3 linked regions of the Saccharomyces cerevisiae S288C genome follow. The protein of the gene in region 1 interacts with the protein of each later gene in a biochemical or structural test. Each region holds a gene or a part of one and is shown on either strand. Other genes may lie near its edges.

The links. The genes of interacting proteins can lie anywhere in the genome.
Region 2: the proteins of MCM10 (region 1) and MCM2 form a complex in vitro, tested with the Saccharomyces cerevisiae proteins (5 studies listed by BioGRID).
Region 3: the proteins of MCM10 (region 1) and CDC45 form a complex in vitro, tested with the Saccharomyces cerevisiae proteins (4 studies listed by BioGRID).

The regions. Positions count from the first base shown.
Region 1 is NC_001141.2:59,951-64,986, reverse strand, and holds MCM10 (Mcm10p), read left to right. Parts: upstream 1-2,258; coding exon 2,259-3,974; downstream 3,975-5,036. Other genes in the region: MLP2 (Mlp2p), read left to right, coding at 1-1,959; ESL1 (Esl1p), read left to right, coding at 4,293-5,036. UniProt on the Saccharomyces cerevisiae protein: Required for DNA synthesis. Required for entry into or completion of S phase. Involved in DNA replication and seems to participate in the activation of the pre-replication complex (pre-RC) and in transcription elongation.
Region 2 is NC_001134.8:173,853-179,375, reverse strand, and holds MCM2 (MCM DNA helicase complex subunit MCM2), read left to right. Parts: upstream 1-1,849; coding exon 1,850-4,456; downstream 4,457-5,523. Other genes in the region: ATP-dependent Lon protease PIM1, read left to right, coding at 1-1,502; NCL1 (tRNA (cytosine-C5-)-methyltransferase), read right to left, coding at 4,788-5,523. UniProt on the Saccharomyces cerevisiae protein: Acts as a component of the MCM2-7 complex (MCM complex) which is the putative replicative helicase essential for 'once per cell cycle' DNA replication initiation and elongation in eukaryotic cells.
Region 3 is NC_001144.5:342,922-347,686, reverse strand, and holds CDC45 (DNA replication initiation factor CDC45), read left to right. Parts: upstream 1-1,745; coding exon 1,746-3,698; downstream 3,699-4,765. Other genes in the region: tRNA splicing endonuclease subunit SEN2, read left to right, coding at 1-640; LCL2 (Lcl2p), read right to left, coding at 707-1,102; APC9 (anaphase promoting complex subunit 9), read left to right, coding at 3,920-4,717. UniProt on the Saccharomyces cerevisiae protein: Required for initiation of chromosomal DNA replication. Acts at the origin of replication. Also has a role in minichromosome maintenance.

The DNA of each region.
Region 1 (5,036 bases):
TGCCAAGCAGAATTAACAAAAACCAAATCCTCATTGTATAGCGCTCAGGATTTACTCGATAAACATGAAAGGAAATGGATGGAGGAAAAGGCTGATTATGAAAGAGAATTGATATCTAATATTGAACAGACGGAATCCTTGCGTGTTGAAAATTCGGTATTGATTGAAAAGGTTGATGACACAGCAGCAAATAATGGCGATAAAGATCATTTGAAGCTAGTTTCTTTGTTTTCAAACTTACGTCATGAAAGAAATTCTTTAGAGACGAAGTTAACCACCTGTAAGAGAGAATTGGCATTCGTTAAACAAAAGAACGATAGTTTAGAAAAAACGATAAATGACCTGCAACGAACCCAGACTTTATCGGAGAAGGAATACCAATGCTCTGCAGTTATTATTGACGAATTCAAGGATATCACGAAAGAAGTTACTCAAGTTAACATTTTAAAAGAGAATAATGCCATCTTACAAAAGAGTCTCAAAAACGTAACCGAAAAAAACAGGGAAATTTATAAACAATTAAATGATAGGCAAGAAGAAATTTCTCGATTACAGCGTGATCTCATACAAACAAAAGAACAAGTTTCGATAAATTCTAACAAAATTTTAGTATATGAAAGTGAAATGGAGCAATGTAAACAGAGGTACCAGGACTTATCTCAACAACAAAAAGATGCCCAAAAAAAAGACATTGAAAAGCTAACTAATGAGATTAGTGATTTGAAGGGAAAACTTTCAAGCGCTGAGAACGCAAACGCTGACTTGGAAAATAAATTCAATAGGCTAAAGAAGCAGGCTCATGAAAAATTGGACGCATCTAAGAAACAACAAGCTGCTTTAACTAACGAACTCAACGAATTAAAAGCAATTAAAGACAAATTAGAACAAGATCTACACTTTGAAAACGCTAAAGTTATTGATCTAGATACGAAGCTCAAAGCACATGAACTCCAATCAGAAGACGTCTCGAGAGATCACGAAAAGGACACTTATCGGACATTAATGGAGGAAATTGAATCACTCAAAAAGGAGTTACAAATTTTCAAAACTGCGAATAGCTCATCTGATGCATTTGAGAAATTGAAAGTTAACATGGAGAAAGAAAAGGACAGAATTATTGACGAAAGAACGAAGGAATTTGAAAAAAAATTACAAGAGACCTTAAATAAGAGTACAAGCTCAGAAGCAGAATACAGTAAAGATATCGAAACATTGAAAAAGGAATGGCTAAAGGAATATGAAGATGAAACGTTAAGGAGAATTAAGGAAGCAGAAGAGAATTTAAAGAAAAGAATAAGGTTACCAAGCGAGGAAAGGATACAAAAGATCATTAGTAAGCGTAAAGAAGAATTAGAAGAAGAATTTCGAAAGAAATTGAAAGAAAACGCGGGAAGCTTAACGTTTCTTGATAACAAAGGTAGCGGGGAAGATGCCGAAGAAGAATTATGGAACAGTCCATCGAAGGGGAATTCTGAGAGGCCGTCGGCTGTCGCTGGCTTTATAAATCAAAAAAACCTTAAACCTCAAGAACAATTGAAGAATGTGAAGAATGACGTTTCCTTCAATGACAGCCAGTCAATGGTTACAAATAAAGAAAATAATATCGTGGATAGTAGCGCTGCTGGTAACAAGGCCATTCCAACCTTTAGTTTTGGTAAGCCATTCTTCTCCTCTAATACATCATCTCTTCAAAGTTTTCAGAACCCATTCACAGCATCCCAATCTAATATCAATACGAATGCCCCCCTACGTACACTCAATATTCAACCTGAAGTTGCAGTCAAAGCGGCGATTAACTTTTCCAACGTAACCGATCTAACTAACAATAGCACCGATGGAGCAAAAATAACAGAAATTGGAAGTACATCTAAACGGCCAATTGAGAGCGGTACATCTTCTGATCCAGACACCAAAAAGGTTAAAGAGAGTCCAGCAAATGATCAAGCTTCCAACGAGTGATGTAATATTAAACAATGTAATTATATAAATATGAAACATCTACATATTTTAAATGTCACTAATGTCATTACAGAGGACATAAAGTGATTTATGACACATCCGTACTAGTAGTTAAGTATGAACAAATTTTGGGTTTATTTGCCATTTTTTTTCACGCGGGTTTCTTGGATGCGCAAACCCACCTTTTCTAACACCACTAAGAAATATCAACTTTATAGGCCATCGAAGATAAAGGAACGTAAGTTTGTCAATTCAACCTCACATTTTCAACGCACATTAAGCACTTGGTTCGTGGAGAAATGAATGATCCTCGTGAAATTTTAGCGGTTGATCCGTACAATAATATTACTTCTGATGAAGAGGATGAGCAAGCCATCGCGAGAGAACTTGAATTTATGGAACGAAAGAGGCAGGCCTTAGTGGAACGATTAAAAAGAAAGCAAGAATTTAAGAAACCCCAGGATCCTAATTTTGAAGCCATCGAGGTACCTCAATCTCCTACCAAAAACCGTGTGAAAGTGGGGTCTCATAATGCTACACAACAAGGCACAAAATTCGAAGGTTCGAATATTAATGAAGTAAGGTTATCTCAATTACAGCAGCAACCAAAACCACCAGCTAGTACAACCACATACTTTATGGAGAAATTTCAAAACGCAAAGAAGAACGAAGATAAACAAATTGCCAAGTTTGAAAGCATGATGAATGCAAGAGTACATACGTTCAGTACCGATGAGAAGAAATATGTGCCGATAATCACAAACGAATTAGAAAGCTTTTCAAATCTTTGGGTTAAAAAGAGGTACATACCTGAAGATGACTTAAAACGGGCTTTGCATGAGATCAAAATCCTTCGGTTGGGCAAACTTTTTGCTAAAATTCGCCCACCTAAATTTCAAGAGCCTGAATACGCCAACTGGGCCACCGTAGGCCTCATTAGCCACAAATCGGACATCAAATTTACATCATCTGAAAAGCCAGTCAAATTCTTCATGTTCACCATAACGGACTTTCAGCATACACTAGATGTTTATATCTTCGGGAAAAAGGGTGTAGAAAGATATTATAATCTTCGCCTGGGTGATGTGATAGCAATATTAAACCCAGAAGTACTACCATGGAGACCCTCAGGGCGAGGAAATTTTATCAAATCCTTCAACCTTCGAATTAGTCATGACTTCAAATGTATCCTGGAGATAGGTTCAAGTAGAGATTTAGGTTGGTGTCCCATAGTGAATAAAAAGACTCACAAAAAATGTGGCTCTCCCATTAACATATCTCTTCATAAGTGTTGCGATTACCATAGAGAAGTGCAATTTCGTGGAACAAGTGCTAAAAGAATTGAATTAAATGGTGGGTACGCCTTGGGCGCGCCTACGAAAGTGGACTCTCAACCAAGCCTATATAAGGCCAAAGGGGAAAACGGGTTTAATATAATCAAAGGTACTCGTAAGCGCCTGTCAGAAGAGGAGGAAAGACTTAAAAAGAGCTCTCACAATTTTACGAATAGTAATTCTGCCAAAGCATTTTTCGACGAGAAATTTCAGAATCCAGATATGCTGGCAAACTTAGACAATAAAAGAAGGAAAATAATAGAAACTAAGAAATCGACAGCACTGAGCCGCGAACTAGGCAAAATTATGAGAAGGAGGGAATCCAGCGGATTAGAAGATAAGAGCGTCGGAGAGCGACAGAAAATGAAACGAACCACAGAAAGTGCCCTCCAGACAGGGCTTATCCAACGCCTAGGATTCGATCCCACTCATGGAAAAATTTCCCAAGTACTCAAGTCTTCTGTATCAGGGAGCGAACCTAAGAACAACTTACTCGGTAAAAAAAAAACTGTTATAAACGATCTCTTGCATTACAAGAAGGAAAAAGTCATTCTCGCACCTTCAAAGAACGAATGGTTCAAGAAAAGAAGCCATCGCGAAGAAGTTTGGCAAAAACATTTCGGATCCAAGGAAACTAAAGAAACTTCTGACGGTAGTGCCAGCGATCTTGAGATAATATAAATAAGTATTGGTGTGCTTTTCAGGGCCCCAAAATGGTATTACTTTTGATGGACAATGGCGCGGGTAATGATTGAAAAATTATGATGAAAAATTGAGTGATTTTGGTTGCAATATAGGGAATCAATCCTTAAAGTGAGAAAGAACAGAAGAGAACATCTTGTGAGACACAAAACGCTCCGAAAACATCTCCCTCTTGGGCGCATCCTTCATTCTGTACTCTTTACTTCACTTTACAGTCGTTTTTGGCCGATCTTTGGCAGCATCTAACGTTATTTTTAGGTTCAATACATAACAACAAGACCACGGATATCGCATAATATGGTTGACCTAATGGTGCCGGCGAATGATGACCCTAGTAATGAAACTGATTATTCTAGATCCAACAACAACCACACTCATATTGTGAGCGATATGCGCCCGACCTCCGCCGCATTTCTTCATCAAAAGCGACATAGTTCTTCGTCGCACAATGATACACCAGAGTCGTCGTTCGCTAAAAGAAGGGTGCCTGGAATTGTAGATCCCGTAGGGAAAGGATTTATAGATGGAATAACTAATAGCCAGATCTCTGCACAAAACACACCCTCCAAAACTGATGATGCATCTAGAAGACCGAGCATCTCTCGCAAAGTTATGGAATCGACACCACAAGTTAAGACCAGTTCTATTCCAACAATGGATGTTCCTAAATCTCCATATTATGTGAATAGAACTATGCTTGCTCGAAATATGAAGGTTGTTTCTAGAGACACTTATGAAGATAACGCAAATCCACAAATGAGAGCTGACGAGCCATTAGTCGCTTCAAATGGTATTTATAGCAATTCGCAACCCCAAAGCCAAGTAACTTTATCCGATATTAGAAGAGCTCCTGTAGTTGCTGCTTCACCCCCGCCGATGATAAGGCAACTTCCTTCGGCGCAGCCAAATCAGACGTTTATTAAAAAACTGCAGGAAATTTATAAAATCATAGTGGTGCAGGAAACCGAGTTACAACAAAGATGCCTTTATTTAACCACCTCTCAAACCACAGAACTAAAAAGTTTGTGGGCAATATACAGA
Region 2 (5,523 bases), on another chromosome or scaffold:
CAGGTGTTGGTAAAACGTCCATAGGTAAATCTATCGCTAGAGCTCTTAACAGGAAATTCTTCCGATTTTCTGTAGGCGGTATGACGGACGTGGCAGAAATAAAAGGTCATAGGAGAACGTATATTGGTGCCTTACCTGGCAGAGTAGTTCAAGCATTAAAGAAGTGCCAAACTCAAAATCCTTTGATTTTGATAGATGAAATCGATAAGATTGGACACGGCGGCATACACGGCGATCCGTCCGCGGCATTGTTAGAAGTATTGGACCCTGAACAAAACAACAGCTTCTTGGATAACTACTTGGATATTCCTATTGACTTATCAAAAGTGCTTTTCGTTTGCACTGCTAACTCTTTGGAAACTATTCCAAGACCTTTACTGGATCGTATGGAAGTCATTGAGTTGACAGGATATGTTGCTGAAGACAAGGTTAAGATTGCCGAGCAGTATTTAGTTCCAAGTGCCAAGAAAAGCGCTGGTCTAGAAAACTCTCATGTTGATATGACAGAAGATGCAATAACAGCGTTAATGAAGTACTACTGTAGAGAAAGTGGTGTAAGGAATTTGAAAAAACACATCGAGAAAATATACCGTAAAGCAGCCCTACAAGTGGTAAAGAAGTTGAGTATTGAAGATTCCCCAACGTCATCAGCCGACAGCAAGCCTAAAGAAAGCGTTTCTTCCGAAGAAAAGGCGGAAAATAACGCCAAAAGCTCATCGGAGAAGACTAAGGACAATAATTCGGAAAAGACAAGCGATGACATTGAAGCCTTAAAGACCTCTGAAAAGATCAATGTTTCCATATCCCAGAAAAACCTAAAAGATTACGTTGGGCCTCCAGTCTACACTACAGACCGGTTATACGAAACAACTCCACCAGGGGTAGTTATGGGGTTGGCGTGGACTAATATGGGAGGTTGCTCACTTTATGTAGAATCTGTCCTTGAACAACCTTTACACAACTGCAAGCATCCAACATTTGAAAGGACCGGGCAACTGGGAGATGTTATGAAGGAATCATCAAGGCTTGCTTATTCATTCGCCAAGATGTATTTAGCACAAAAATTCCCTGAGAACAGATTTTTTGAAAAGGCGTCTATCCACTTGCATTGTCCTGAAGGTGCTACCCCTAAAGATGGTCCATCTGCAGGTGTCACTATGGCCACTTCCTTCCTTTCCCTAGCATTGAATAAGTCGATTGACCCAACGGTTGCGATGACCGGTGAATTGACACTTACCGGTAAAGTTTTACGTATCGGTGGGTTGAGAGAAAAAGCTGTGGCCGCTAAAAGATCTGGTGCCAAGACTATTATTTTCCCTAAAGATAACTTAAATGATTGGGAGGAACTTCCAGACAATGTAAAGGAAGGGTTGGAACCTTTAGCTGCTGATTGGTATAATGATATATTCCAAAAATTATTCAAGGATGTGAATACGAAAGAAGGTAATTCAGTATGGAAGGCTGAATTTGAGATTTTGGATGCTAAAAAGGAAAAGGACTAACTTTTCATCTAAATGGATTAAATACCTGTTTAAACATTCTGTAAATATTTAAACATAAACATCAATTTTATTACACAATACTAAATTCTTTCTTTTCTTCGTGAAGTATGTATGTGGGAAACCCAAGATGGCGGAATCGCGTGTAATATTATTTATCATATGCCTTTTTTAGGAAATCTAATTACTTACCGAAGAAAATAGGACAACGAAAAATTTCGAGAAACGAAACCAGAAAGTAAATGGTGAATATCCTATAATCTACACATTTTGGTACAGTTTACTTAATAATACTCCACACACCTCTTTGCCTCTTTTCTAAGAAGTATAACACAACTACAATATAAGTGATGTCTGATAATAGAAGACGTAGACGTGAGGAAGATGATTCGGACTCAGAAAATGAGCTACCGCCATCCTCACCTCAGCAACATTTTAGAGGGGGGATGAACCCAGTTTCATCACCTATTGGTTCTCCAGATATGATTAACCCTGAAGGTGACGATAATGAAGTTGACGATGTACCAGATATTGATGAAGTTGAAGAACAAATGAACGAAGTAGATTTGATGGACGATAATATGTATGAGGATTATGCGGCTGATCATAATAGAGATAGATATGATCCAGATCAAGTTGACGACAGGGAACAACAAGAACTATCTTTAAGCGAACGTCGCCGCATTGATGCTCAACTAAATGAAAGAGATAGGCTATTGAGAAATGTTGCCTACATAGATGACGAGGACGAAGAACAAGAAGGTGCAGCGCAACTTGATGAAATGGGCCTTCCTGTGCAAAGACGAAGAAGGAGAAGGCAGTATGAGGACTTAGAGAATAGTGATGACGATCTATTGAGTGACATGGACATTGACCCATTAAGAGAAGAACTTACTTTAGAATCTCTGAGTAACGTTAAGGCTAACAGTTACTCGGAATGGATAACACAACCTAATGTCTCAAGAACTATTGCCAGAGAGTTAAAATCATTCCTGCTGGAATATACAGATGAAACGGGTCGTTCTGTATATGGTGCACGTATTAGAACATTAGGTGAAATGAATTCTGAATCTTTGGAGGTTAATTATAGACACTTAGCGGAGTCCAAAGCCATCCTGGCACTATTTTTAGCTAAATGTCCAGAAGAAATGTTGAAAATATTCGATCTCGTGGCTATGGAGGCAACAGAATTGCATTACCCAGATTATGCCCGTATTCACTCCGAAATTCACGTAAGAATCTCTGATTTTCCAACAATATACAGTTTACGTGAATTGCGTGAGTCTAATTTGTCCTCTCTAGTACGCGTCACTGGGGTGGTGACAAGAAGAACAGGAGTCTTCCCTCAATTAAAATATGTCAAATTCAATTGTTTGAAATGTGGCTCCATTTTGGGCCCATTTTTTCAAGATTCTAATGAAGAAATTAGAATCTCATTCTGTACAAACTGCAAATCAAAAGGTCCCTTTAGAGTCAATGGAGAAAAAACTGTGTACCGAAATTATCAAAGGGTTACGCTCCAGGAAGCTCCCGGAACCGTTCCTCCAGGCCGTCTACCAAGACATAGAGAAGTCATTTTGTTGGCGGATTTGGTAGATGTATCCAAGCCAGGTGAAGAGGTAGAAGTTACCGGCATCTACAAAAATAACTACGATGGTAACTTGAATGCAAAGAACGGATTCCCCGTTTTTGCAACAATTATCGAGGCAAATTCTATAAAAAGAAGAGAGGGCAATACAGCTAACGAAGGCGAAGAAGGGTTGGATGTTTTCAGTTGGACTGAAGAAGAAGAACGTGAATTTAGAAAGATTTCTAGGGATCGTGGTATAATTGATAAAATTATATCATCGATGGCACCGTCTATCTATGGTCATAGAGATATTAAAACTGCAGTCGCGTGCTCATTATTTGGAGGTGTTCCAAAAAACGTCAATGGAAAACATTCTATTCGTGGTGATATCAATGTGTTATTATTAGGTGATCCAGGTACTGCCAAATCTCAAATCTTAAAATACGTCGAGAAAACAGCGCATAGAGCGGTCTTTGCAACTGGTCAGGGTGCTTCGGCTGTCGGTCTGACAGCATCCGTCAGAAAAGATCCTATTACTAAAGAATGGACCTTAGAAGGGGGGGCGCTAGTATTGGCTGATAAGGGTGTTTGTTTAATTGATGAATTCGATAAGATGAACGATCAGGATCGTACATCTATTCATGAGGCTATGGAACAGCAAAGTATTTCCATTTCCAAGGCCGGTATTGTTACTACATTACAAGCGCGCTGCTCAATTATTGCTGCGGCAAATCCTAATGGTGGTAGATATAATTCAACCTTGCCTTTAGCTCAGAATGTTAGTTTGACCGAGCCTATTCTGTCTAGATTTGATATTTTATGTGTTGTCAGAGACCTTGTTGATGAAGAGGCAGACGAAAGATTGGCCACATTTGTTGTCGATTCTCATGTAAGATCTCATCCAGAAAACGATGAAGATCGAGAAGGCGAAGAGCTTAAAAATAATGGCGAATCGGCGATAGAACAAGGAGAAGATGAAATAAATGAGCAGCTTAATGCAAGGCAAAGAAGACTTCAAAGACAAAGGAAGAAGGAGGAAGAGATCTCGCCTATTCCACAGGAATTATTGATGAAATATATTCACTATGCGAGGACAAAAATATACCCTAAATTGCATCAGATGGATATGGATAAGGTTAGCAGGGTATATGCGGATTTGAGAAGAGAAAGTATTTCTACAGGTTCGTTTCCAATCACAGTTCGTCATTTAGAATCTATTCTAAGAATTGCAGAATCTTTTGCTAAAATGAGATTATCTGAATTTGTGTCTTCTTATGATTTGGATAGAGCTATCAAAGTTGTAGTTGATTCCTTTGTTGATGCCCAAAAAGTCAGTGTTCGCCGCCAACTCCGCAGGTCTTTCGCAATTTATACCTTGGGTCACTAAAACTTTGTTATTCCTACGAATATCTGGATATGAAGATAAAAAATTCTCTGTCTCAATCCATGTATTGGCAATCCTATTTTCAATATACAAGTTTCCTTTATTTTTTGTATAATTTTTATACACTGTATCTTTAATTTCAATTCAACTAAATACTCAAGATCTAGTCAAAAGTGCATTATTTACTATCCAAAAAAAAAAAAAAAAATGAAGTAAAAAAGAAGTAACAAGACCGAATAAAAAAGGCTCATTACTGAAGTATTATATTCTTATTTTTGCCTTTTAATAATATACATTTACTTTACAGTGGAGGGGATAAGAAACATGATAACTATCAATTAGCAGCGCTAGGAGCTTCAGTAGAGGTTCCGGTAGTAGTTTCTGCGGGAGATTCAGTCGTTTCTTTTTCTTTTTCTTTTTCTTCAGCGCTTGGAGTAGCCTTGGCATTCGCATCAATACCAAAGATCCTATATAATAGCTCATGAGTATCTTCTTTACAAACCATCAAATTGATACACTTGTTGCCTTTCCACACAGGCAAGAATAAGTTTTCTTTGGCAGGGTCATTTCTTGACACATCAATAAAGGCGCAACCAGAGCTTAATTTTGTCATCTTTTCAACAAAATCATTATCGATGTTCTTCGAACGAATGTCGTCAAAGTTAGGGAAAGATTCGATTAACAAGTGTTTTAACATCTCTAAATTAGCTTCAACAATTCTATTAGATTTCATATGGTGTTTCATTATTGGCAATGATTCACTTTGGATTCTCCATGAACATTCGATATCACTTCTTTGAGAGACAAACAATTTTACACCAGAATAAATAATCTTCAACCTATCGTCATTCGCTTGAATAACATCCTTCAATGCTGGACACACAGTGTAAACCACTCTTGTTGGTTCACCAGTGGCGTTACGCACTAAACAAGTGTTTCTGTCGAAAATATTATCGATGCCGTAGAAATCCCAACAAACTTTTAAAGCTTCGTGCTGTGGATCAACGAAAACAAAAGGCTCTTCGTTCGCGTCACGTGGTAGTCTTTCTTTCTTTTGGACTTCTTCTACC
Region 3 (4,765 bases), on another chromosome or scaffold:
CCTTGAGAAACAACGAGAATCATTAAGAAAATTTAAACTAAAACAAACAGAAGACGTGGGCATCGTTGCACAACAGCAAGACATTTCCGAATCAAATTTAAGAGATGAAGACAACAATCTTCTTGATGAGAACGGTGATCTTTTGCCACTAGAGTCACTAGAACTAATGCCAGTGGAAGCTATGTTTTTAACTTTTGCACTTCCTGTTCTTGACATATCTCCCGCGTGCCTGGCAGGGAAACTGTTTCAATTCGATGCCAAATATAAAGATATTCACTCCTTTGTCAGATCATACGTTATATACCATCACTACAGATCACACGGTTGGTGCGTAAGATCTGGTATAAAATTCGGCTGCGATTATTTATTATATAAGAGAGGGCCACCATTTCAACACGCTGAATTTTGTGTTATGGGTCTTGACCACGACGTCTCTAAAGATTATACGTGGTATTCTAGCATAGCCCGTGTTGTGGGCGGCGCAAAGAAGACGTTTGTGTTATGCTACGTGGAGAGACTAATCTCGGAACAGGAGGCGATAGCACTATGGAAATCAAACAACTTTACTAAATTGTTCAATAGTTTTCAAGTTGGTGAAGTATTGTATAAGAGATGGGTTCCCGGAAGAAATAGAGACTAGAATATCAATGAGAAGATAAATCCTTCGTATGTATATATGTATGTGTATGTATTTTTTATACAGATTTCAATGGTTTTTGTAAGCATCTGATACCCATCCACAATCCCTAAACCCCTTGTTCTTTGCTTTGGGGCCCTTGACAGGGTCATCATATATTGCTCTAAACTTTTCATTGTGTGTGGCTGGTTTGGATATGCAAACAAATTTATTATCAGGAAGGACACATTTCAACTGAGATTTAGGGAAGGGACAAGGACAGTCTTTCTGCTGTGCAACGCACGTTAGGGTGTCCGGACACAAATACCCATCACAAGGGTTATTTAAAACTTGATCTTCATATGATTGTTGCTGTTGCTGTTGCTGTTGCTGATGATGACCGAAATTGAAGAAGGCATTCACTCCAGTGCTGCCAAAAATAAACAATGCAAAGATGAGAACGATACTCCAGCGACTTTGACTCATACTACAGTAAAATTTGGTCGTTTTTTGCCTGGCAAACCATGCCTATTTTTCGTCATTAAAGGTCTTCTGAGCTTTCATCAAAATTATCTCTATAATTATAAAGGACAGCTCAGAGCCACACCCAAACATCTGCAAAGGTAAAGGCCATCTTTCATCTCACATTGCCTAACAAGAAAGTCACATTGCAATTGTTTCGAGAAGAAAACATTAATTCAATTACGTGGTTCCCATGCGTCTGTGTTAAGCGTCAATTTATCATTTGACGAACTCGTTGCAACCACAAACAAAGCAAGGGCCGCATTTATCAAAGGAAAACCAACCAAAAGCATAAATAAACGAGATTTTTATTATGAAAAAGCCATGCGAATCCTACTAGAATAAATTCAAAGTGAAGACATTTAGTCAATTCGATCTTCTCTCTCTTGCTTTAACTAGTCGTAAAACCTAATAAGTTTCATTCACGACGCGTATTTTTTTTTCAACATATCATCTAACGCGTTTTAAGAAATTTCAGTAAATAATGAAGCTGTAGTAATGCCAACAATCCATTGTGGCTACTTTATACAACGCACTATAGAGCAATAAAAGTGTAGCAATAAACACTAGAGAGAAGGCACATAATAACAAGAATATACTCTCGCACATGTATTATGGAATCAGCCAGTTTAGCGAAGCCTACAACAAAATCTTAAGGAATTCATCGTCTCATTCATCATGTCAATTGGTCATTTTCGTTTCTTGTCTTAACATCGATGCGCTGTGTGCGACGAAGATGTTGTCACTATTATTCAAAAAACAATTGGTACAATCTCAAATAGTACCGATATTTGGGTACTCTGAATTACGACGCCACTATTCTCAATTGGATGACAATATAAATAGTCTGCTATTAGTAGGGTTTGGAGGCGTTATTGATCTGGAGGCTTTCTTAGAAATCGATCCCCAAGAGTATGTTATCGATACAGATGAAAAGTCGGGGGAACAAAGTTTCAGGAGAGACATCTACGTGTTGGATGCTCATAGACCGTGGAATCTCGACAATATATTTGGATCACAAATCATCCAATGTTTTGACGACGGTACGGTGGATGACACATTAGGCGAACAAAAAGAAGCATACTATAAATTGCTTGAACTGGACGAGGAGAGTGGTGACGATGAGCTCTCAGGTGACGAGAACGATAATAATGGGGGTGACGATGAGGCAACTGATGCCGATGAAGTCACAGACGAGGACGAAGAAGACGAAGATGAGACAATATCTAATAAAAGAGGTAATTCTTCAATAGGACCGAATGATCTCTCAAAAAGAAAGCAACGAAAGAAGCAAATCCATGAATATGAAGGTGTTTTGGAGGAATACTATTCTCAAGGCACAACAGTGGTTAACTCGATATCTGCACAAATCTATTCATTATTGTCTGCTATCGGAGAAACAAATCTTTCAAACCTGTGGTTGAATATACTTGGTACGACCTCGTTAGATATAGCATATGCTCAAGTTTACAATCGATTATACCCCTTATTGCAAGATGAAGTGAAGCGTCTCACACCAAGCAGTAGAAACTCAGTAAAGACCCCTGATACATTGACGTTAAACATCCAACCGGATTACTACCTTTTCTTACTGAGGCATTCTTCATTGTACGACAGTTTTTATTATTCTAACTATGTCAATGCCAAACTATCCCTATGGAATGAAAATGGGAAAAAGAGATTGCATAAGATGTTTGCTAGAATGGGTATACCATTAAGTACTGCACAAGAAACATGGTTATACATGGATCATTCTATTAAGAGAGAACTTGGGATAATATTTGACAAAAATTTGGATCGTTATGGGTTGCAAGATATAATTAGAGATGGGTTTGTTAGAACTCTTGGATATCGTGGGTCCATAAGTGCCAGTGAATTTGTCGAAGCACTAACAGCTCTTTTGGAAGTAGGTAATTCAACTGATAAGGATAGTGTGAAAATAAATAATGACAATAATGACGATACAGATGGAGAGGAAGAAGAAGATAACAGCGCTCAAAAATTGACGAATTTGAGAAAAAGATGGGTTTCGAATTTTTGGCTCAGTTGGGATGCTCTAGATGACAGAAAGGTGGAACTATTAAACCGTGGCATTCAACTAGCACAAGACTTACAGAGAGCAATTTTTAATACCGGGGTTGCTATATTGGAGAAGAAATTAATCAAGCATTTAAGAATTTATAGATTATGCGTCTTACAAGACGGACCCGATTTAGACTTGTACAGAAACCCATTGACGTTATTAAGATTAGGAAATTGGCTCATAGAATGCTGTGCGGAATCTGAAGACAAGCAATTGTTGCCCATGGTGCTTGCCAGCATAGATGAAAATACGGACACTTACTTGGTTGCTGGGTTAACACCTAGGTATCCTCGCGGACTAGACACGATACACACAAAAAAACCTATTTTGAATAATTTCAGCATGGCGTTTCAACAAATAACTGCAGAAACGGATGCTAAAGTGAGAATAGATAATTTTGAAAGTTCCATAATTGAAATACGTCGTGAAGATCTTTCACCATTCCTGGAGAAGCTGACCTTGAGTGGATTGTTATAATCAAATTTATATTATTTAGTCGTACATATATACCAGCATATGAATATAAAATCTAAGCTTTTTCAAGCTTTTAAGTCCAACTTTTCTATAATAATACCATATTTTGTGCGCGGCTCTTGACAAAACAAAAAAAAAAACCTAAATAAAAGGAAATTAAGAACAGGGAACTAGGTTTGGAAGGACAAATTCAGGAAGGAAAGAAATAGCTGTGACAAAGTAAGATGAACCAAAATGGTGATAAGAACGAAGGCAAGTTGTTTCAACTACCGTCATTGCCGCCCTGGAAAACACCAAGGTTCAACAAAGCCAACTTTAACAATTTTACCACACCGCTACGGAAAAGGTCGACAAGGGTAATAAATGATGATTCGATGCCCATAACAGGCGAAGTACTAGAGGAGAGGACTGCAGATGATCTCTATGGGATAAATATGGACGTAGACGAAGTCGACTATCTGAATACTTTGAGCCACATCGAGGAAGAAAAGCAATACGATTATTCACCGTTTTGTGAGCGCAATACGCTAAGGGAAAGTAGAATTGACAGTTTTTTGAAAGCCGAAAGGGCAGCACATTGTCTTGTGTTTCATAAGGTGGGCCATCTAGACGGCATAGACAGCTATCGACCCGATATTGACATCATGTGCGGCGAAGAGGCTAATAAATATGACAGTGCGAATCCGGAGGGCAATGGTTCAATGTTGTTAGAGAGTGTACCTGGATGCAACAAAGAAGACCTGGAGAGGTTATCAAGGCGAGAATTTGTAACAAATTCGAAACCTAATATGAGACGGTTGGATGACATAATAAATCATGAAACGAACGCCTTAAAAAGTTTCTGGAACGACTCAGGATTAGTCAATTCACTCCAAAGTCATCATTTGCATGAAGAGTACCTTCTTTTGCAAGAAGAATTAAAGAATGTGTACAAGATTAAATGCCATGACAGAGTGCCAATAGAAAGTCTACGCGATAAGTGCAGAAGACACTATAGCAACGAGGATAGTTCGTTTCTCTGACAGAGGCAATGCCTTTTTTGCTTCACGTGTATATATATCAGTTGATAT